Linked DNA regions of Arabidopsis thaliana. The protein of the gene in region 1 interacts with the protein of each later gene in a pairwise test. Each region holds a gene or a part of one and is shown on either strand. Other genes may lie near its edges.

Region 1 (8,173 bases):
CATATTTGCATGTACGTCTAACGACGGGTAATTACGTAAACATATTAAAGTTTTTACTTTCTGTGGTATCAATGTGTGACATACCCAAAATTCTTGACGGAAGATAAAAAAGTCCTTTCAAATTCTAGGACAGTAAATATCATCTGTACCCAAAATACCCTTACCCGGACATCCACGAAACAAAAGGGGCAACTTCGTCATCTCAAACGGTAGCCATTGCTGCAAAAAGGTTCACCGTCCACGAGCCCCTCTCTCTCTCTCTCTCTGTTTTAATTTCTAAGACGGAGAAAAGCAAGCGTCTTTTTTCCGGGTTCTCTGCTCTGTTCCTGCAAGAATCTTGTAAACCCTTCTCTCACTCTTTCTCTCTCAGTCTCAATCTTATCTCTTTCTCATTCAAAACCTCGAAAGAGCTAAAAGTGTAGATGGCCTTTGATTTACCAAACGATTTCAGATGCCCGATCTCCCTTGAGATCATGTCCGACCCAGTTATCCTCCAATCGGGTCATACTTTCGATCGGGTCTCTATCCAACAATGGATTGACTCCGGCAATCGAACTTGTCCAATCACCAAGCTACCCTTATCAGAAACCCCTTATCTGATTCCCAATCACGCACTTCGTAGCTTAATTTTAAACTTCGCCCATGTGAGTCTTAAGGAATCATCACGTCCTCGAACTCAACAAGAACACTCTCACTCTCAATCCCAAGCTTTAATCTCCACTCTCGTCTCTCAATCGTCGTCTAATGCATCAAAGCTCGAGTCTTTGACTCGACTCGTCCGACTCACGAAGCGAGACTCGTCAATCAGGAGGAAAGTTACTGAGTCAGGAGCAGTTCGTGCGGCTCTGGATTGTGTTGACTCTTGTAATCAGGTTTTACAAGAAAAGTCTCTGTCTTTGCTTTTGAATCTTAGTTTAGAAGATGATAACAAAGTTGGTTTAGTCGCTGATGGAGTGATAAGACGGATTGTTACTGTTTTACGAGTCGGGTCACCGGATTGTAAAGCGATTGCTGCTACTCTGTTAACGAGTTTAGCTGTTGTTGAAGTGAATAAAGCTACTATTGGATCATATCCTGATGCAATCTCTGCTCTTGTTTCTCTTCTCCGGGTAGGGAATGATAGGGAGAGAAAGGAATCAGCTACGGCTCTTTACGCTCTTTGCTCGTTTCCCGATAATCGGAAACGGGTTGTGGATTGTGGGTCGGTGCCTATTTTGGTTGAAGCTGCTGATTCAGGGTTAGAGAGAGCAGTGGAAGTGTTGGGACTTTTGGTTAAGTGTAGAGGAGGAAGAGAAGAGATGAGTAAAGTAAGTGGTTTTGTTGAGGTTTTGGTTAACGTTTTGAGGAATGGGAATTTGAAAGGGATTCAGTATTCTCTGTTTATCCTCAATTGCTTGTGTTGTTGTAGCGGAGAGATAGTTGATGAGGTTAAGAGAGAAGGTGTTGTAGAGATATGCTTTGGTTTTGAGGATAATGAGAGTGAGAAAATCAGAAGGAATGCTACTATCTTAGTTCATACTTTACTTGGGATTCCAATGAGTTCATGATTTTGGGAGTGTGAGGAAATGGATGTTGAAAGGATCGGGGCTTTGTCTTCGGTGGCGGTTTTGGTGTTGATAGTTGTTGTGGTTTTGTTTATCTGGTCTGGATATGGAGGTAAGTGTGGGTGATCTCTGTGTTGGATTTTCGACTTGTAGTGTTCATGTACAAAAGAAAGGAAGAACAAAACAAAGACTTACGTTTTCAACAAAGCAAAATGCAAATGCTTTTTTTTTGTTTTCTCTGTACATTATAGTAATAAAAGGATCATACATAATAGTTTTCTTCAAGTGTTTCAAAATGTTCATCATCAAGAGAATTGTAATCTTTACATTTCCAAAGCATTTAATTAATCCCTTCTCTGTTGAATCTTAACCCTTTGTTACAAGTGTTCTTGTCCGCGAAATCATCTCAAATCGTCAAGCCTAACATTTTCTCCCATGCTTTTACATGAAAAGCCATTAGTAATAGCATTTTATTTATACTGTTTGCTAGTTGAATCACATTCAGAAATAATTTGAGAATTTTGATTGATCAATTTGGTTGAAGCATTCATGGCTAGAAGAAAATAATATTCCGGATCTTTCTTTTGCTTTATTCTCCAAAGAAATGTGATGATTCCATAAGACAAACCTGTCTTTTTTACTACAATAGTCACTGGGACAAACCAGTAACTGTACTTTATGATTCCATGTCTACTCGATTTAGGTTTTTGTTTTCAATTCAGTTGTGGCGTGCTCGTACCAAAAGCACATGGTCTCTGTTGAATTCTCTCCACAATGATTTAATGTTCCTTCACAAAAAGATGGGTTATTTGTTTTTTTTTTAACACTCGTGCTCTTTTTTTTATAGAAAACAGTGCTGAAATATCACTGCTTTATGTTTCTTATTCAATCATATGCCTTGATTTGAGGACACACAAACAAAACAAGACAGAGTCGTGTGTAGCCTTTGAGTACTATGAAAAGAGCTGCTTTATTAAAGTGATTGTTTTTCTAATTAAAGATCTCCTTAATGGAGATATTAATTACCTAATTTATAGTTGACAAAAAATCATCTAATTTGTCTTCCTAATCCTTTTTAAAAATCCACAATATTCTATATACCTTTATAAGATTCTGACTGTGACTGGTATTATTACAGAGTGTGGAAATTAAATAATGTGTAGTGGAATCACGATATTGTGAGAATAAATCATTAAATTAAGACCAATTTTTTTAAAAATTTTTTGTCTTTAATATGACAGAATAAGTGGTTTACCAAAAAATAAAAAAATAACAGAAAAAGTGAACATACTCAATAAAATAGTATTGATTGATAAAACAGCAAAAAAAGAAACACAAATTATCTAATCTTTCGGCCATTCCACGAAGTAGGCTCTAAATTTGTAGGAAGTAATGGAACGAGACATCACATTTTATACACAAATTAACACCAGACTTTACAGTTCTTAGAACAAAACTAATCTATGAGTTTTCATGTGTAATGTACTAATGTTACATTTTTGATTCAGTATAAGAGTCTAATTCCACAAACTAGATGTGTCCAAATGCTGCGGAGGAGTGGAGAAAGTACTTGAGATCGGCATCAGACAAAGACCGCGGCTTCGAAGATCTTGTCTTGGACTACAATTTTGATTATGAGTATTATTGCTTGATTTGTCTGACCACTAGAAATTGAAAGAATCTTATTAATGATCATAAGCAAAAGAACAAAAATCAAACTACTTAATTGATTTTAGATTATAGAGTTGTTTAACCGTTAACTAAGTTAAGTACCTGCTTCTGTTCACCAGATCCTATAGAGTTCAGGTGTGGACTAGTAGAGACCTTTTCCTATTTAAATGATTATAAAAAGAATAAATATAACAGTTAACTAAAACCAACAATTAATTAGTAGTAGTATTTCATATTTGAGAGATTATCAACTTACAGTGATTTGTTCTTGTAGAAACTTGATGTAATCTATAGCATCATGGAGGACAGAAGCAGTGTCTGTCTGTAAAAATCATCACAAAATAATAATAAATAAATTTGAAAACAGAAGTAGCTAAAAAAATTTCGTAATTATGTATGGATAATATATAGTAGAGATATCAATATAACAGATCATGAATTCATGATGAACACAAACCTTGCCAAAGGGTGAAACTAACTGTTGAAGCGCGGTAATTCGATCTCCGAGTTTCTCTTTACGAACCTTATCAATCAAAATAGTTTTTGGAAAAATATCAGCAATAGTTTGTGCATGGGTATGTGTTTCTTAGCATAACTAACTTTTTTTAGTGATAAATGACAATCCTTGAAAACTGTAGTAAGATCATTTGTTACTAACTTTGAAGCTCGGAAAATGAGATGGTGTCTCAAGTCTTGGCCTTTTTAATGGCTGTGATGACTCAATATCTTCGAGTTCTCCACTTTTCTCACTTGCTCTCTAAAAATAATTGGTCACAATGTCAAAATCTACAGAAATATTGTAAAATATCTCTATTAAAAGAAACTAATTAAATAGATTTGCCCACCTTGCATGTAGTCAGACTCTTGCAAGCTTGCATGTCTTCCTTGGGTTTTTGGTGATCAAATACTGATATCATTCTTGATTCGTTCGGGAAAACGTCATCAAAGAAGTGAAAGCTTTCGAATAGTTCTGGTTTGGGACAGTTAGGAACCAATAATTGCTCACTAGAATCAAACAATCCTTCTAGAAAACTATTTATCTGATTGTATCGTTCTTCTTCATGGCTGGTAAAAAAGAGAAAAGAAAAAGAATGTCAGGATTCAGGAACAAAGATCATGATTTTACGTTATACGTCACGTAAGATGATAAATGGACTTACATGTTAGATGGACTCGAAACGTAGATTTGTGATGTGGTATCAAGATTTGCATTGCCTAAGAATGTGGAAGTACTAAGGTAGTTCTCGTTGTAAGTTTTGGCATCAAGGGTATCAATGTTTTGCCATTCAATCTCACCAAAATCGACAACAATCTCCGCGGAACGTGGCAGAGAACAGCCTGAGAACATGCCGTTGGAGGAGCTCCACCATGTTCCGGTACAAACTCCCGTAGTGTCGAATTCTTCTGTCATGTTTTGTTGGTTACGTAGACAATGGTTTAGTTTGTGTAGACTTATTTCTTCGTAAGTGTCAGAGTTTGCATGAGACAGTAATGATGTTGATGATGGGGATTGTATTTATATGTAGCGATGAGGTTTAAGTCAACTAACAAAGTTATAATATTTGTTAAAAAAAAGTTTTGTACAAGAGTTTTATATGTTATTGGTACTTCCCTAATTAATCTATTAATTATTTAGATAATGTATGTTTATCAGAGTAGTCGATAGGAAGTTAGGTCAAGCAAATTAAGTAATTAAAAGATGACAAATTTTTTTTACCAACGTACGTACAATGTAAAGTTTAGTTTTGATTTTGGTTAATCAAATAAAAACTTTGATGTACATGTGAGTTTGTGAGTTGTGACCCTATCTTCTCAAACATTGTAAAACAGAGTTAATTTCTTACTATCATCATAATTACTACTTTTCTTACTCTTTGATATGGGATGGTAATACTAAAATGTTTGATATATGTTGAAGTATATATATTTATTTATTTATTTTTATGTGTTGAACGCAGTTGAAGTATTAACTTGTCAAGGGGAAAAAAGTAATAAAATTTTAGTTAAACAAATAATGTGAATATATTTTTAATTAAGTCATCGTACGGATATGGTATTTATTTTACTTGCAAATTGTATATTTGTATAGCAATGCATATTTATTAACTACTGTTTTGGGGGTTTACTGATTCAAATAATTAAAAACAAAAATGACGTCACAGTTATATATGTCAATATAGAAAGAATATGTTTGTCGTCCAAAAAATAATCTCATTTTTGGGATGGTCGATGAATACGTACAAGGAAAAGAAAGTCAGCGTTACCAAATCCATCGCAAAAGGGTAGTTGTTGGCTGGCCTCGTTTTGATCTATACGACTCCGGACGTCTTTTGTTTGTACACAGTTACGTGCGCATATCTGACCTACGTGTCGACTCTTTAAAAAAAAATGTAAAAACTTCAAACAAATATGGATTTACATTGTAAACAAATTTTTTTTGAAATATATGGATTTAGATCAATCTTGCTCTTTGGAGAAAATAGCTTATTGGTTTTGCTTCAAGCCTCTCCAAATGATATCATAACTTATAGGAATTAGGATTACACTTAATTGAGTTTCATTGTGCTTTATATATGGATATGACAACAAAAAGAGAGTTATCGAAATAAGTTTTTTTTCCCTAATTGAACAGAAAATATAAATTAATACAACTATTTGAAAAGAAGTAGTTAATAAGACGTATACCATATATGCATTCACCAAAGAATGAAGACTTTCTTTAATTATAATTTTTGTTTTGTAATGGACATGATTAAAATATATATTTTTACTTTCTGAAATTTATTAAAATGAATTGTTGATATTCGGATATAATCACTAACAAACAACTGTATAAATGTATAAATGGATTAAGTCAGACCGTCCCCTCCAATCCATTTGGGTTATTTTAGGTTTGATCTTTAAATTTAGAAAGATTCCCAAAATATGTGCTCATGTCATATGGTTTGACTCAGCAAATTATTTTAATATTTTTAGTCAATAGATATATTAAATATTTGTAGACTTCGAGTGACTTAGGTTACAGTACACCAACTTCAATAAGAAGAATTTAACCAAGTAAATTATTAATTAATCAACCTTCACTGGTTTTTCTGTTTATATACAATTTAACTTGTTTTCATACGATTTGAGTTCAATAGAATTTTAAGACCAACATTCTTAAGACTATATAGAGATTGTTGATTTGATTCATTTGACATGAGGAAACGGTCCATCGTTTTATTTCATTGAGAGTGGAAACTATAAATTATTTTATATTGTTAATCAAATATGTCGTGGAGTAGGGAAAGTCAGAGATGATAAAGGTATATTATTATTTTTATAAAAAAATAGTTAATAGGTTAGGAAAATGTCTTTTGATTTTGGCTCTATTGAATAGTTTTGATATTTGAATAAAAAAACTTAGGTTTCTACCAACTTCCAACCTTACACAAATGAACATCACTATTCACTACTCACCATTTGGATGGTTGAAATTAAATGGGCTCAACTTGAGAATGGCCCATTTAAGAGCTAATTCATTCTAAGCCCATTTTAAAAAGAAACCCCCATTGCTCGGATCCTAGAGATAATATCTAGTGTTTTCTTTCTTTGACCTCAAACAGAGGATCATGAACATTTTGCAGCAACATATATGAAGACAAGAAGAAGCTCATTGGCTTGTAACACAAACTCTTTTTCATCTGAATCATATCATATTTAAAATGGAACAACAATGTAATAAAAACCAATGGAAATGTTATTAGATCAAGAAATTTCCAAGATGTATATAATTAATACTTATGGATTGCTTCTCATAACTTCCAAAAGAAAATCTTTTGTCTGTTCAACATCACAGAGTTCCTGTGTCTGAACAGAGGCACTAATAAGAATTGCTCCATTTGAAGTTGTTAGACTAATATCGATAATCTCGAATCCGAGAAATCTCATAACCTCCATGAATTTAGTAAAGATCCCATCTCTCTTCTCTGTTATGATCTTTAACCAAAACTTCCTCTCCCCAATCTTACACAATTGCACATTCTCCTGTCCCAAAAATAAAAAATCATCAAGAAAGATAAAGAAAATGAATCAAAAATCGATTAGAGAAATTTTAAAAACCTCGATTCCGAGTTTCTTCATCTCTTCGTTAAGATCACTAGTTTCAACTTCAGGTTTTATCATTGGATCCGTTTGTTCTTCATCAATCTCAGGAGGAGCTTCTTCCATTTCATGAAATGTCTCTAAGAGATTCTTAACATTGTTTTGAAGCTCTCCTATGTAAGTAATCGCATCTTCAACAATACTTGCTTTAGTCATCTGAAAACGAAACAAAAACAACAACAATCATCACCAAAATACCCATAAAATAATAATCGAGATTTGGGACTTACGTTGGTGACAATGGGGACATGAGATCGCAGAGCCATAAGCCGACAATGAAGCTTCTCTCTTCTACGTCTCTCTGCTTCAAGATTTGGAGATTTGAAGTTTTCATCTTCTTCCTTCTCTTTTGTTACTTGTTTCCTACGGCTCATCCTCACTGGTTCTTGAAATCTGCTTCCTCCACCCATTTATTTCTTCTTCTTTGATAATTTTTCAGACAAAAGTGTTTATATTCTTATTTATGTAATGGTGGTAAAAGACATGAGTTATATAGTTGCTTCTCATGTAGATAGAAGTCTGTTAGTGGAGAGAGAATAAAAGAGAGAATCTTAGTCTCAGTTTGTTATTAAGTGAATGTGATTTCAGTTAGAGTCAAATACAGAGACTAAAATAACAATTTTTGTTTTCATTATAGAGAGAAAAAACAATTTATGACGAATTGAGGAATCTTCTTATTCAAGGGTTCAAAACACGAATCCTTACAGACAAAGGAATGGTAACATTTCGAGTCCCATCAGTCCAAGTGAAACTACCAAAGAAAAAACCAGTGTTACTCTTATGACTCGACGAAACCCTAACTTTAAACCCAAGTT
Region 2 (7,841 bases), on another chromosome or scaffold:
GGATTATGATTAGCACTTGATTATCTTAGTGACGTTCTCATTAATAATCATACTATAAAACTTGAATCAATCCGACATTAGAAGAGTCGATAAAGATCAAAGACTAGAGTTATCTTATTTTTATATTTTATTTGTTAAACTCTATTTTTGCTTTAAGAAAAGAATATCCTAATTAAGTGTAAATGAATGTACGGCCAACAAAAGATTTGAAGGGGCAAGATGGCTCTTGGGTCCTCACCTTACTCGAAGAATGATCACACAAAACCCTAAGAACCACAAAAAATGTAGACCAAGCTAAGTCTTATGATCATCTATATTAATAACAAAATCAATCGTTAGAAATTAGATAGTGATATTGATCCACAAGAAACTTATTCGATAAACTCTTGAATAGCAAAAGACTTGAGAAAACTAAAAGCAAGAAACAAACAATTGAGATTGTTTTTTAAAGAGGTTCATATACAAAATCTCTGGGGATAATCGGGACATGATGACATTCAGTTACAAAAATTTCCAAATATGTGTTGTAGAAATTAATATATCACTTTTTTTTCTTTTTTTGAATCATTGTAATGTAAAATTTATTAAAAAGTCTTTGGTTACAATATATGCAGCTTTAAGCATAACGTTTTTTGAGTTTCAGAAAATTAATATATCACTTTGTATAGTAATGTACGAAAAAATTCATCAAGAACTATGTACGGTTACATATCAAGATGTTATGGTCTAATGTGTGTTTACCGGTTGATAAAATGTTATTTGGTAGCTAATATTCAGCTAACCCTAGTTTTTGTTTTATTTGAGAGTCAGATAATCATGTATATATAACTTTTGCAAAAATAAAAATTGAAATAATGAGAAAATATTACTTTACTATTATCATTCATATATATATAACACACCAAAAAAAAAATCATATATATATATATATATATCCAAAAACAAATCACTTACTTAATTCTGTATTTTATCCAGAATCATTATGAATTAACACACCAAAAAAAAATCATATATATATATATATATATATCCAAAAAAAATCACTTACTTAATTCTGTATTTTATCCAGAATCATTATGAATACCAACTTGATTTTGATGGTCTTAATTAATTATTTGATATTCTATTTTTTTGTCGTTATTTGATATTCTATTTAGATTGACTAGTTTTCTTGTGATCATTTGATAATCCACGTCGTTTTGTTTTCACCTTCAAATTTTTTTATTGATCACCATGTTTTTTGGAATACACAAAGTAGTAAATGTTTCATAATCATGTGAGACCTAGGGTTTTAATTTTCAACTTGATTATTTAAGTTTAGTTATTCCTTACTAATTTAACTACCATTTTCTTGACATTCATACCAAAGACAAATAATTAACTAAAGTTTTGTTCGTTTTCGGAAGAAAAGTTTAAGAAAACATCAAGTGGACTCACACACACCGACTTAAGTGGAGAAGGTGATGAAAGTATTGGGCCCATAAGAAACTGCGGCTGCTCGTGGCTTTTGGCATTAAACACGAATCTTGCTAATGTTATTTTATTCTCATTATACTTGATGGATTCATGTTTATCCATCCATATTGTTATATTGTATTCCCCAAATTTTTAAAAAGCGAATTCGTCTAGTATAGTTAGCTCCATAGTTTAAAAGTAGAAAAAGAAATTTAGCTCCATAAATTTTGTAACTCATGATTAGACACTAATTAGATGTAAAAAACAGACGAGATTGAACGAATGATGATACCCGGTTGTTGATAAAACTTGAAATGGTCAGAACTAAAAACTTATATTTTTCAAAAATAACATAAAGAGTCCGGTGGTCGGAAAAGGAAAGGAGAGTGACGTGGACCACAAGCAATTGTTTGCCCACTAGTGACTGGCTGGTCGAAAGTATATTTAAAATATGTCCCACTTCATAAGATCTTCAAATCACTTCTTCTGTTCCAACAACAATCCATTCTCATTTCAACGTTTCAAAAGCAAACATGTTATTGGTCAATTTCATTGTTTCTACGCCATCATCCATAGAGCAACAATACCTTGTTGTTTTTATTAAACAAAATGTGAAGAAGAATAGAAGAACAATAAAAAAAGAGTGCTTTTGAAGATTCCACGAAGGTATGAAGTGTGACATAAACGGCTCTTTGCGTCGTCCAAAAGCCGCCTCCCCCAAAAGCTTTCCCTTTATAACCCCAACTTTTTGGGTTCAACCCAACTACATGCATTATATAATGCATATCTACTCTATACATACAATTACTTATATTATGTAATGCACCTTGTTTAATCTTTTTTAGAGTTTGTATTCATCCGGAGAATGTGTGGTAGACTAATCTTAAACATAGAAAGAAACACATGAAGATGTACATATGCCATTGAGAGTGTTGCGAAGAAGACCGTTGCAGTACTAGTATAGGATAATTTGAGATATCACAAAAAGATCATCACATCTCGAGGAATACGTACTATTGTGTTATACTATTACTAGGTATCATTAAACCATTGAATAACAAATGTAGTATCGAAAGACAATAAACCTGGAGATAATAAATGCTAATATTTTGTTTTGCGAGTAGTAATCAAGATGATTATCAAAATAGCAAGTTGTGTATGATTGTGTGTACATTACAACATGTTGGTCCTTAAAGAATCGAAATATGTTGGGTGCGAAGACTTTGCCGGTGCTTTGGATTTGGAGAGATGTATATTTTGACTCCGATTCGTGATTATTATTATTAATGTTGAATATGTCGATAAAAACAAATAATTTAGTAGCTAATAAGTATTGATTTATCGTACACATTATCATTGTTATCTTTTAATTTGAATTCGATGAGAATGATGATTAATTGATTATGAACTAAAAATAAAATAGTACACCACCGACGAATTATATCATTATTCTCTATTACTTTGGATAATTTCTCATAATTAAAGAGAGAAATAAATCACGTAATTTGCTACATTTCACAAAATATTAAGGGCTATTAATCCAAAAAAGGCCACAACAAAAAGTTACTCGAAATTACATTTTTAACCCTCATAACAAAAACGACGCCGTTCAAGCGAAGAGATTGAGCAACTTTGTCGTTGCTCCTCCTCCTCCTCCGCCGCAGCGTACGTACCGATCACCGGCGTTGTTGTTTTGAAACGAAACCGTGGTAACAGACTCCTCCGAGTACATCGACGGTGTATCTTCCTTAAACGGCAAGGTTTTAATCGGATAAATAGGAATAAGAGAGAGATCAAGCTCCGACGAAGGTTGTTGTTCCGACGATAATCGTTTCCGTTTCGGCGGAGAAGCTGTTGATCTTGATCTAGATCTAGAGCTTGAGAATCGGCAGTGATGATAAATGTTCCGATCACCGGAATCATCAGCTTTTCGTAGATTCAACATTTCCGTACAGATCTCCGAAGCTTCGTCGGAAGTAGGAGACGGAAACCCGGCGAATCCACCGCCGTTAAGAAGCTCCGGTATTGGTTTTAAAGAACCACCACGAAGCACCGTCTCAACCGCCGCTTGACAAACATTCCAATTCCCCGTCCACAACAATCCGACGGCTCCGTTCACCGGATTCACAGTTCTCCCACAAGCTTCGTATAGCAAAGACTGAAACAAAGCTGTAAAAAGACCAAATACCCTTACCATCAGAAACCAAAACGACAACGTTTAGACGAAGATCTAAAGGACCGAGAGGTTTTTGTTTTTAAGTACCAGGGCATTGAGATTCCGGTACGGCGGAGATGAAAGACATTAAACCGGCACGGCCGAAGAACTTAGCGACGAAGACGGTGGCGTGGCCTTGAGCTTCAGGTGATTCGATCCATTGAATACATGGACGGAGGATGCAATTCTCACTGCAACCTTTTCGTAGAACTCGACAACCATTGCAACTCATTATTTTCAGAAATCTTTTAAGTTAGTATTTTATCTTTGGTTTTGCTATAATCTTGGAGATTCAAAAAGCTTTTGGTACAAGAAAGAGAAAGAGAGAGAGTGGGACAAAGTGTTTCAATGTTTGGTTGAAGAAGAAGAGTTATGTAATATTTATAGACAATAGACATTGATACTTGAGTGAAGGAATGGGTCATGGCTTTGAGATTTTATTATATTTTAATAAAAATTGGATAATAATCAAAGTTTAAAGAGCCCTACCAAATTACAAAATAGAATGATTGCTACAAAATATATTTATTTTATCATTAACTGAATTTAATTTATGCTATAGTTTATACAAAAAAAAATGTTATGTTAGGTTTAATTATGAAAGTTAAAAATGGTGTGTGGTTGTTGACTAGTTGGTGATGAGGAGAGAGGAAGAAAGAGAGATTCCAAGGTGATGGGTGCGAACGGCTCCGTGTCCCCGCGAATAGTTGCCTCCTCAACCATTGGTTCTTTTTTTCTTTCTTTATAAATTTCTCATTTCTATTCTTTTTCATATTCTTTACTTGCTTCATTTCTATATAAATGTTTGCGTCATGCATGAACGATCTCGATTATTTGATGGCAGATCTCAATTCTATCTATCCAGTGTTTATTCGTTGACAAATTTTTCGAATCTTCATGTCTCAAACAAAAATCAGTGTGATTAACATATATTATCGATTATCGGTGTAAAGAAAAGAAAAAAACCTAGCTTCTCATCTAACAACAACAAAAAAAACACATAGATTCTCAAATGAAATAACGCACTTCAATTTCAAAATTGAGATTTATAACTAATTAGATCATATTCTCTCTAGTTCGCTATTATTTGTTGAGCTATATAAGTGCCTCTCTTAAACTATTGGTCTCTATGAGTTTTATAAATATAGATATGGTTCATTCGTTCATGCAGTACGTATACTTTGTAAACAATTTATTTATGAAACCAATGAGATTGTTTTGTTTAGGGTTAAGGCTAAGCTGACCCTTCAACGAAACAAATCCACTACCTGACCCTTAAATCAACCTTAAGGGTTTTGATAATTTAATATGAAAAATGTTTTAGAAGAAAGATAGAGGCGTTTTTTTGCCTACGATGCTGTCTCACGTGTGTGACCAAATCAAACATTTCTTTTCTCCTTTACATTAGCTAGTAACAAAATCAAATATATGATGAACAGAAGATCTACAACAAAATGATATTAATAAGTCAAAGTGTCTTCTTCTACTTTCCTATAGCAATGCGGTGAAACGGCGCCGTTCATGGCTTACGTGGTGTGCTTACCTACACTCCAATTAGGCAAATTTTCCACTGAATGCCGCCGTCTCTTTATATTTCTTTATTCCCAATTACTTCAGTCCATTAGTAATTTAAAAATGCATTATTGTTTCGTTGAACTTCTGGTACCTAAAGTTCATTTGCTTAATTAGTCGACACAAGACACTTGAACGCGACAGTTTTGATCAACAACGACATAAAATTGGTGTTAAACAGATGCTTAGATGTTCGATAAATCAACTACTTATTTTTACAACGGTATTCCTATTTTAAATATCAATCTTATAACATAATTTCAATCTCAATTTTTGAAAATTAGTATTGTTTTGTGGCCCTTCTTCCAAAAATTTATTTTCTGAAGTGAATGCAACAAGATAGATTTTACCTTTATATATTTAGTAAAATCAATGTTATAAAATAGATTATAAGTTAGACGTACGGCAGAACACAATAGAAAAAATATTATATATACTTCAATGTTTATGATGTACAGTGGGAAGTCATATTGCATACAATAGAAAAACCAAAACTATTTCTTTGAAAACAGAACAAAAACAATGTATGAGACTTGTAAACTATTGAGAAGAAATGAAAGAAATTGTCAAATAGAGGTTGCACAAATTGCATTCCTACTTACATTCATTGATGTTCATTATATTATGCTATAAAACCTAATTACATGGTTAGATAAGGTGGGTTTGTGGACTTGTATTTCATGAGTCTATGGACTTGTGTTGGGCTTTAACATGTCCTCTTTCACGTTGAGTTCTAAATGATTAAATACTGGGCTGTTAATTGGGATATAATTTCTCAGCTATAAGAGCCGGTACACTATGTCACTATGGGCTCTACTGCATTTTTCGTATGGTCCAAAGTCCAAACAATGAGTCTTTGGTAAATTAATAGTTTAACACCACTTTAACGGTACCATGCCAAAACTAATTTGGATGTTATTGTAACGCTCGAGGGCCTTATTAGGCCTTATTACAAGCTAATAAGCTATATACTATGCCCACAAAAATTGGTGAAATTCTTTAGTTTCTAAGTTTCTAGCAATATAAGAAGACAATAGTACAAAGAGAATGAATGACCAAATCTTACAGACTTATAACACAAGCATTAGGTTATAGCCTAATAGGTAATGTAAGATGTAAGTATAAGCAGTAAGCTGCACGACATATTTTCCGTCTTATTTAGCAAGGTATTATTATTATTTTTTCCCACACCATTTTAGATTTAAAATTTTTGCTTTTGTCTTTTCAAAGCCAAATCTTAATTTGACGAAAAGTTTATACCGAACCGCATAATATCACATATATAAACAACATTTTTAAGGGATGAGTTTTCTGAACTCTAAATAAAAATCGGTTGACAAGAAAAAAACAAATCTTAAAATAATTCCAAAAATTCTTAACCATCAGATACTACAATATAGTTATAAAGAATAATTATAAGTCAATTTTTTGTGCCACCAAAAAAACAATATTTTCCCGGCATTTAATTCAGAAAATACCCAATATCCATATTTTTCTCGGAATGTATAACTACTCTTTTTCTTAGAAGATACATAAGAACTGGGATCGATTAAGACGTGTAAGATATTTATCGTAACAAATTATACAATTAATTAATTATTAAAAGACTCGTAAAACTCGTGAAAACGAAATAATACAGAATTATAAAAATAATTTAAGCGTGGAGGGAAGTGTGAGTGCCAACCAATCAAAGTCGACAAGCCACTTAAGGATTAGCTTCGTTAGGTACTACTAACCGATCTATCACTACTTCAATAATTAATACTAACATAACCCAAAATTAATACTATTTCTCCTATCAAATTATGTTTTTAAATAGAAATCTGAAATGTTTAATCAAATAGTTAAATTCTTAGGAACAGATCACTTCAAGCTGGGAGTGACAGATTCAAAGAAGTGGTTCCTTTGCTTGCGGAAATAGTAAATGAAAAATTAATCAAGTAATGAAGAAAAACAACAGTAGGAAGTTTCCATGAAATAGTAGTTTTCAATTTTCATTAATCCAATTCTTTTTATTATTAACAAAATTAATAATAATTTCAAATATATCCTTTTTTTTTTTTACTTTTTATAAACAAAAACCAACAACGAATAAACATTTGAAGATTATTTTCTTTCCATATACGTAAACAGAAATTAAAATAATCCAAAGTCCACTCCAATCATTTTCATTACAGACTCAGCTAATGATCAACCACTAGCTAATCCCGATCGGTAAAAAATAATAATAATCACAACACCGACTTTGTTTCTTCACCGGAGAGTTGACTTTTTCCAATTGTCTCATCACTAACTTGATCAGCCGGTAAATTTAGGTCAAACTTGTGGCTATTGTCACCGTTACTGTTACCGTTACCACCATCATAGTGACAACGTTTGTGACCACCCAATGCTTGACCAGAGGGAAACGACTTAAAACATATAGAGCAGTTATGAGTCTTCCCACTTTGACCAACTAAACCGTTACTAATATTTCCGTTATTAGTAACGGTTCCGTTACTATTATTAACATCGACACTAACCGGTTTCCGGTGACTTGTTTTGTGTCCACCTAACGCTTGGTAAGACGGGAAAGATTTGCCACAGACGGAACACTTGT
Region 3 (8,295 bases), about 11 Mb from region 1:
CGGCCGTGGTTAGCTGGATTTGGACGAATCATTGGGTCTATTGGGTTGGTCCTTTTATCGGTGCAGCCATTGCAGCTATTGTTTATGATACTATCTTTATCGGTAGTAATGGACATGAACCACTTCCTTCTAATGATTTCTAAGTTAGGTTTTTTTTTCTTGTGTCTTGTGAAACAAGAAATCTACAGTTGTAGCCTACTATGGGTATTTTGAGGGAGATATGTGTTTTTAATTGTTTTTCACTACTTTTGTTGTTTTAAGTAATTAATAAATTGATTGGTGGAAAATTTACACTAATTTAAATTAGATTAAACTATTATGTGGGGTATACGTAGTATTCTGCCATACTTAAGGAATTCATGTACAAACGAATTTTATTGGAGGCATATTCTTGAGATTATGCTTCCATGGTGAAAACTGAAAATATATCAAACATAATGGGACCCGCCATTATCAATAATACTATGAAGATATATATATGGTTGGTTGGTCCATGCACGTTCTTTATTTTATTTTTGGCCCAAGCACGTTCTGATATGTGAATCTTAGGCTAATGATTTTTTAGTCGATTTAAGTATTGAACAACACACACAAAAAAAGGAATTCAATAAACGGTACTTCGGTGTCCCGGTGTTTGCTCTAAACGCGTTTCCAAGTTTCTTGCACGTTCAAGCAAAGTGCGATGACGAGATTTGATGATACTCACGATGTATATTCCTCAATAACAATAATTGTGATTAGTATTATAAGTTTATATATATAACTCATCGTGGATTTAGAAGAGTTATGTCAATGGTCGATTGGTCGTATGTTTTATTGTTTTTACCACATGGAAAACTAACTATTTTATGTATCAAGAATTGTAAATAACATGACATTTGCAGATAACAACTATTTGGGAGAATTCTAAAATTCGCTCGATGATTTAATTTTAAAGATCTACACTAATTGTGCTACGTTGAGCAATTCTCTATTACAAGTTAATTGTGCTACGTTGACCATTTCTCTATTTAAAAATTAAACATATACAAAAACTCTTTACAACTATCAAATATTCTTTTTAAAAAATCAAATAAAAAAAACACCAAAGTAACACATCCTTCGACTTAGAAATCACAATATAAAATCAAAACTTTCGACTTCGAATCAAAGCCCCGAGTTCGTTCAAAAACCTCAATTTCACGAATATGACTCATGAGGACCTACTAAGAATAAAGCTAAGGAATCTTTATTCAAATAAACAAATACCACGCGAAACATTAACGCGTAAATACACGCACGTCAATCTCACGCGGTGGAACGCTCGGCTCTTTTAGTATGGGCTTTAATGGGCCTGTATAGATTAACTGGGCTAATATTTTTAAAAGAAGGACTTTTGTCTTGAGCCCAAAACGAAAATGAGTAATTTGTTTTTGTTTTCTGATAAAAAAAGAGTTTTCCTCAAAAGAAATGAGTAAATGACATATTACTCAATAATTTACTGTAAAAATGACCAAATGGTTTGACTTTGACCAAAAGTTGGAAAAGATCAGAGTTGTTACCAGTCGATTATCTCTGACGTATGATCTTGTCGTTCACTCTTACACACAATATTCAAATAATGTATCATTGCTTTCTGAATAATATGTTTTTGTTTATATTGTTCTTGTATTACAGAATTTAAACATATTGATCGGATTTGTTTTGCTTATGATGTTTAGATTTTTCCCGATTTTTTAATAAGCTTTGAATACAAAAGTTAAATATATGCGGAAACCGATATATGAATTAAAATTTCGAAAAAAGTAATGTGAGTGAGATAGGCTGAGTTTTACGTATTACAAGCGAGACCGATGTGTCAATGAGACTCTGACCATAGGCTTCCTTTTACGATGCTTTTTTACCATTGGAATATTAAAAAAATTCTGCCACCTTTCTCTTCGTTGTTAAAAGTAAAACTAGAGTCATTATACAATAAACAAGTATTTTTAGTCAGTAGACGTTGATGCAAAAGAATACCTTTAAATTTATGTTGTAGCTGTACCTTTTTTATCAAGCGTAGATTTGTCAGACGCATGGACGATATGAGAGTATTAATAAAACGTATATGCAAAATATAAAAAGAGGTTGCGAAGTGTGAAGGCGACTTCTTCTTAGTAATAATGATGTTTCATCTTTAATTGTATTTGTTTCCATTTCCGTAACCATTCTAATACGGACGTCTAAAGTCAATTTCTTAACATTATTACTAAGTGGGAAACATTTATAAATGGAAGTAAATATTACTCATGGTTAACTTTTTTCGTTTTCGGGGTCAAACTGAACTCATAGGTTAGTTTATATTCAAAAATTACAGGCAATAATAACCTAAACCTTCATGTGACCAATAATAATGTCATCGTAGAACACTGCGAGTTTGCTACTAATCTAAAATCCAAAAAGTATAAGATAATAATTAAAACTCCCAAAATTTCACCTCTTTGGTTTTTCTTATTTATATCACGTCCCTTTTCTTTGTAACCTAAAGTTTACACACGTTACTAGGAGTCAAAAGTCAACTAAGTTCGACTAAGATTTGACCACATGACTTCACCGTTGATTTGCTCGAAGATCTGATGAACGGCTGTCGCTATCTCATCTGCTGATCCTAATTTACAACCATCTTCCATCTGCATGCACAACACCATTCATTTCTCATCTCTCCAAAACTAAACAAAAATTAGCAACTTACTAAAAAATTAAACTAAAATTTTCTAAGCTTAGAGTGAAGGAAAAAAATACACACACACACACATAATTGTAGATATTTTCTATTATGGTTTCTCATGCATTTTAATTTTCTTAAGTACCAAACATTTCAAAATGAAGATTCCTTAATTTTCCTCAAAAAGTCAAAAATTGCTAGTTACATAAGACTATTTATAATAATGCTTAAACTAGTGGAAATTGAAACTGATAGTTTAAGAGATGATTAAGAAAATTACCTTGAGATTGAAAGAGTAGATGACAAAGTCAAAGGAAGAAGAGATAGTGAGATGTAGAATCGCAAGCTTTAGTTCTTCAATCGAGACAATAGCTTTTAAGATCTGTCGTTTTCCTCTCTTACACCGAACTTTTAAGCTCACATGGTTCTGTATCACCGTAGCCTCCACTTCTGTCGTATCTCCACCGCCGAATCTCGCCGTAAATCCATTTTCCGACGTCGTAGACACGCTAGAAATAGAAGAGTTAGTGCATGCAAGAGACGAAGATGAAGAACACGACGCCGTTTTAGGAGTTTCATCAGTTCCATCCTTTCGTTTCTCAGCTTCTAGAGATTGCAAGAGTTGCTCTAGTTCCTTGATGAAATCTATTGCCCCTCCTACAATCGAAGCTTGGTCACCCTAGAGAAACAAAAACGTTTTCTTGTTAAAGCTAAATTACGTTCTTGAAAAGAAAAAAAAATTACGTTCTTGTTTAATGAACCCTTAAAACATTTTGTTACCCGTTGAAGAAACGAAGGAGGCATGAGAGATCGGAGAGAGTTTAAGTGTTCGTTCATTTGTCGTCTTCGATTACGTTCGACGGCAATGTGAGTCATCCTTTGGTTTTCAACTTCGTCTTTGTTCTTTGGAGCTCTTGTACGTTTCCGTTTTCTTTTTTCTTTGACCGTTACTGCTCCGTTTTCTGTTCTTGGATCCTTTTCCGGGTCATCTGTTTGACCCGGATCTCTTTTGATGTTTGTTTCAAGGGTGAGACAGCTCTTTGATTCTAGGGTTTGGATCTGGAGAAGTGATTGGAGAAACTGATTTGGTTCTGTTGTTGTAAAAGGGTGTTCTATGCATTGAAGCATTTGCAGAAATGGTATCTTCTCTTCCATAGTAGTGTCTGAAATCTGACCAAATTGGTCTTCTAATTCACCAAAACTCATCAATCCACTCATAATTAGCTTCAACAAAGAAAAAAACAAGAGAGATTAGTTTTAGGATACCATTTTGACAAGAAAACAAAAATCTACTAAATCTTAAAGTGGGTATGAGAAATAAATGGTTTGGTAGGTGAATTCTTAAGACAGAACAAAGAGGATGTACGAGGAGAGAACATTAAATGATGAGAAATAAAGAATGTCGCAGCGAGAGGAAACAATAATAAAAGTAGCAGAATTTGGATAAGCTATTGTAAAATGAATTTACAAGAATTTTGCATTGAATGTTAATCATATGAAAGGAGGAGGAAGAAGAAGAGTAAATGCACAAAACAGTATTCTGTATATGAGAATAAATTACAAGAGAGGCTTACATGAGAAGCTTTATGAGTCTCTCTAATGGAACTGTTTTCTGAAGTAATATTTTTGTAACTTTGAGTATTTAGATATAGGTGTCTTTCCTCAAATAGTCTTCAAATTAACAACTTCTGCTGCTGCTTCTTCTTCTCTCTCTTTCCTCTAAACTAAAAACATTCCTTTAGGGGTTGACACTTTCTAAACTGTTCTTAATAAATGCAGTTTTCCACATATATAAAAGGAGAGAAGACGAGGAAGAGAAGAAGAAGAGGTTCGGTGCATATATGTATAAAAAAACCAAGGGTGAAAAATAAAAATACTATACTATAGCTAAATTATCTAGTTATATATATAGTCGTCGATATTTAGTATTTTACACGCACACATACAGTAATATATGTATGTATTATTAATTAAATATTTAATCCGTGAAACAGATAACCTTTCTTCTTCTTTTTTTAACCTAAATTTTGGACAAAAATATACGTGGGTGTCCTGTCCTCCAGATCAAATATTTATGACCTTGTCCTCTTTGGGCCTTCAAAATAATTTTCTTTCGGGACAATACTCTTTGATTTTTGTTCTTAACGAATTTTACTTTGGTAAATATAAGGAATTCGATAGACTTTGATGAAGGAATTCGATATTTGGCTCGACCAAAAAACATATAAAATACTTTATCTATAAAAATAATTCTACTTAAACAGAAACTTTGAAGATTCACACTAACATATATACATGTTTAAATCATCATCCAAAAATCTTCTTCTGTGTTTGGATATGTTGGCTTCATTGGTGTTACATATATATTAACCGTTTTGACCAAAAAATAATAATATATTAACCGTATTTATTTCATTTTCTTACCATATGTTTTGCTACAACTATTAGAAATTAAGTGTATATATATAATATAACTCTGTATAGACACAATGAGATTGTGCGTTGGGACTAGGAGGGGTCCCGTAAAAGTATTATTGAAGAGGGCAGTGAAGACAGTTTTGTTTGGTGGGGACACGTCTTCCATGAACAGTACTTCTCACTCTTATTAAGACAGTTTCAGGATCAGAAAAGAAGACCAAGCCTCTCTTGCTTCTTCCTCTTTTTCTTTTCTATCTTTAGAGAATTAGTTTTCTCCAATCCAAAAAGGGTTTTCATGTCTTTTACTTCAACTTTTCATTTACTTTGTTTTTTCTCTTTTAATCGAGCTAGAACAAGTACATTATGGGTCTTTAAGTATTTCCCAATATGGTGTGTTGACTTAGTGCTATAAAAATTAAGAATGACAATAGTACCCTTTAAGAAGAGGACGAACAATGCACATGGCCAAGGCCAAGGCCATGGGTGCCAAACGTTAAGTATCCTAATAATACCAACTCGATTTCAGTGCCTTGGTCTGTAGGGCAAACAACAGTACTCTCCCCCAAAAGAAATTTACCTTTTTATTTTTGTTTCCTTCTCCCAAACTACAGATTTTTATTCTACCTCAAAGTCTTTTAAGAACTTGGATTTTGTACCATGCATAAGTGAGTCCAAAACTCACATGCAACCTAATAAAATTGAATAGACTACATTTGAAAAATAGGCCAAACGAATTATGAAGAAAGGAAAATAGATGTATGAAAATATAACACACAAAATGTTTTTATATTATTATAGATAAAGAAAAAAAAAATTACAAGTTTTGTCTAGTACATTATCCACCCAATAAGAGCATGTCACATACCAATTGAGAAAAAAGTGGAGTAAATTTTTATATATTACTTAGCTAAACACAAGAATATCTATAATATATATCATTATCAACATATCATATGTGGATAGCTATTTCTTCAGCCATTATAGGTTCGAATGGAAATCAGTTTGCATTAGACACGCGAACCACATTTTCTTAGGTAGTTCCCTACGTGTAACATTAGACCCGAAATAGCACTTATTTATCGTCAAAGTAAGTATGTAGAATATGATTTTACAATTTATAGTTCTATGTACCATCCATATAACCGAAGATACGGTACTAGTTTGTTTAAGAAAAAAAAAAGAAGATACGATACTAGTAAATGAGAACATATAGGAATTTAGACGAGCGAGGAAAATGGTAATGGGTTTACCCACTTGTGTTTAGATCAATTCCATGAATTGTCTCTCAGTTTACTTTATTCGATTTGACTTGTTTCCAGAAGGCATGTAGAGTTGACAAGTTAAATATGTCTATACAATCTCACATCCATTATGCAATTGGCCACAAATAAAAATTCATTATTTCATCTGTAATAAATGTATCATTCAATATTTTCTGTTAGTTAAGCAAACTAATCAAATTAATTTTGAAGTTTTTAGATATATAATGTATTACAGATAACAAGAAAATGACTTGAAATGGTTTGGTTGGACCTAAGATTAGTAAAGAGAAAATTGCAAAACAAATTTTAAAATCTAATATTTTTGTAAATCTACTCTCCACATTAAAAAAATTGCAAGATTATCATATAAGTCACTCAACCATATACAGTAGAAACTCTATAAATTAATAATGTTGGGACCATGAAATTTTATTAATTTATAGTGATATTAATTTATCCTATAAATTAATATTTATTAATTTATCGTATAAGTTAATAAATATTAATTTATAAAAATATTTATGTAAAATACAATACTATATTCTTTTTAAAATGTTTTTAATTAATTTTCTATATGCTTTGTTGTTTGTATATATAATTATGTTAGTTTTTTATTTTTCTTTGACTTTTTAAATTTATTTTTCAAAATATATTGTGTTTGTATATCCACGACATTAACGTGAACGTAAACGTAAACATGAAGTTTAATCCAATTTTTATTTACACAAATCTTAGCAATGCTTTTTCAAATAAAAGATTTTACAAAATCAACTATGACAGATCAAATACGCAAATAGTTATGTGAGTACAACAGAGATCATACCAGTTATATTTTAAAAAGAGTTGTAATTGTACTTTGAACAAAAATTTCATATAAAAATTAATTAGTCTTAAAATATATACTTAAGATCTATGATTATTAATTTATAATATTATTGGGACTATAATTTTATATAGGGATTTCAAAAAAAATATTATCTTATTATCTTATCGATTTTGGTTACTTTTTACATTGGCCCGACTTGGGACCGGTAAAATTTATTAATTTATCGTGTTTATTAATTTATCGAGTATTAATTTATAGAGTTTCTACTGTAGCTAGTCTTCCACAATATTTGACCATATAACACCATGTATTTTATCTAACATATTATGAAACTAGGCCGTTTTGGACAACTAAAACGAAAAGAAGTTGGAACAACAAAAGGTGAAAACTCAAATCCTTATGTCGATTTGTCGATGAGGTCAAATGCTTGATTCCCCGTCCCCTTCACAGTTTTGTTTCTCAATTTTATTTCAAAAAAAGTAATATCATAATTATAAAAAAACACAGAGTGTATTAGTTACTGTCAAAAATTATATAATACGAGGTTGTAGCAAGTTGAATATTAATCTCGCATCTTATAAATCTAGGAAGTAGGGTTGCAAACAAAACTGATAGTTTGAATATTTGTATTGGCAATTTACTGGTAATAATGTTTTCTTGTAACATTTTTTTTTCTTTCTGATAATTTTTAGCAGATGTCTACAAGAGTTCCTTTTGTACAAAAATGAGATATAAGGATTACAAAAAAAGTAGGGTAATTGTTTTTTTTTTATATCTCTGCGATAAAACTTATAACACTACAATAGTTAATATACTACAAGAAAACATAACCATTTCCAACAAAAATTTTCAAAGAAATGTTTGGTTGAATTTTTTTTGACGGGATTCTGACGAAATTCCGAAAACAATACTTTATCAAAAATCCGTTAGAAAAATAAAAAAAATTCGACAATTACATATTAATCGGAACTTTGTCGGAATGATAGAATAACAGTAATAAAATCTATTTTTATTTATTTATTTTAATACTGCGCCTTCTTCTGTTTAAAACCTTAAACCACTTTTTTTTTATCATCATTCAATCCGTACTCTTTAAATTATAATAT

What was found. The genes of interacting proteins can lie anywhere in the genome.
Region 2: the proteins of B70 (region 1) and LBD38 interact in a two-hybrid assay, tested with the Arabidopsis thaliana proteins (one large-scale study listed by BioGRID).
Region 3: the proteins of B70 (region 1) and AT4G01460 interact in a two-hybrid assay, tested with the Arabidopsis thaliana proteins (one large-scale study listed by BioGRID).

The regions. Positions count from the first base shown.
Region 1 is NC_003075.7:11,349,517-11,357,689, reverse strand, and holds B70 (basic helix-loop-helix (bHLH) DNA-binding superfamily protein), read right to left. Parts: upstream 4,733-8,173; 5' UTR 4,627-4,732; coding exon 4,376-4,626; intron 4,281-4,375; coding exon 4,061-4,280; intron 3,973-4,060; coding exon 3,874-3,972; intron 3,739-3,873; coding exon 3,673-3,738; intron 3,538-3,672; coding exon 3,472-3,537; intron 3,375-3,471; coding exon 3,318-3,374; intron 3,209-3,317; coding exon 3,062-3,208; 3' UTR 2,866-3,061; downstream 1-2,865. Other genes in the region: PUB8 (plant U-box 8), read left to right, coding at 423-1,547; DYT1 (basic helix-loop-helix (bHLH) DNA-binding superfamily protein), read right to left, coding at 6,996-7,241, 7,317-7,514, 7,589-7,768.
Region 2 is NC_003074.8:18,510,526-18,518,366, reverse strand, and holds LBD38 (LOB domain-containing protein 38), read right to left. Parts: upstream 4,102-7,841; 5' UTR 3,903-4,101; coding exon 3,719-3,902; intron 3,625-3,718; coding exon 3,065-3,624; 3' UTR 2,236-3,064; downstream 1-2,235. Other genes in the region: AT3G49930 (C2H2 and C2HC zinc fingers superfamily protein), read right to left, coding at 7,474-7,841.
Region 3 is NC_003075.7:616,940-625,234, reverse strand, and holds AT4G01460 (basic helix-loop-helix (bHLH) DNA-binding superfamily protein), read right to left. Parts: upstream 4,545-8,295; 5' UTR 4,258-4,544; exon of another isoform or gene 3,908-4,257; 5' UTR 3,902-3,907; coding exon 3,464-3,901; intron 3,363-3,463; coding exon 2,964-3,362; intron 2,649-2,963; coding exon 2,538-2,648; 3' UTR 2,236-2,537; downstream 1-2,235. Other genes in the region: TIP1;3 (tonoplast intrinsic protein 1;3), read left to right, coding at 1-143.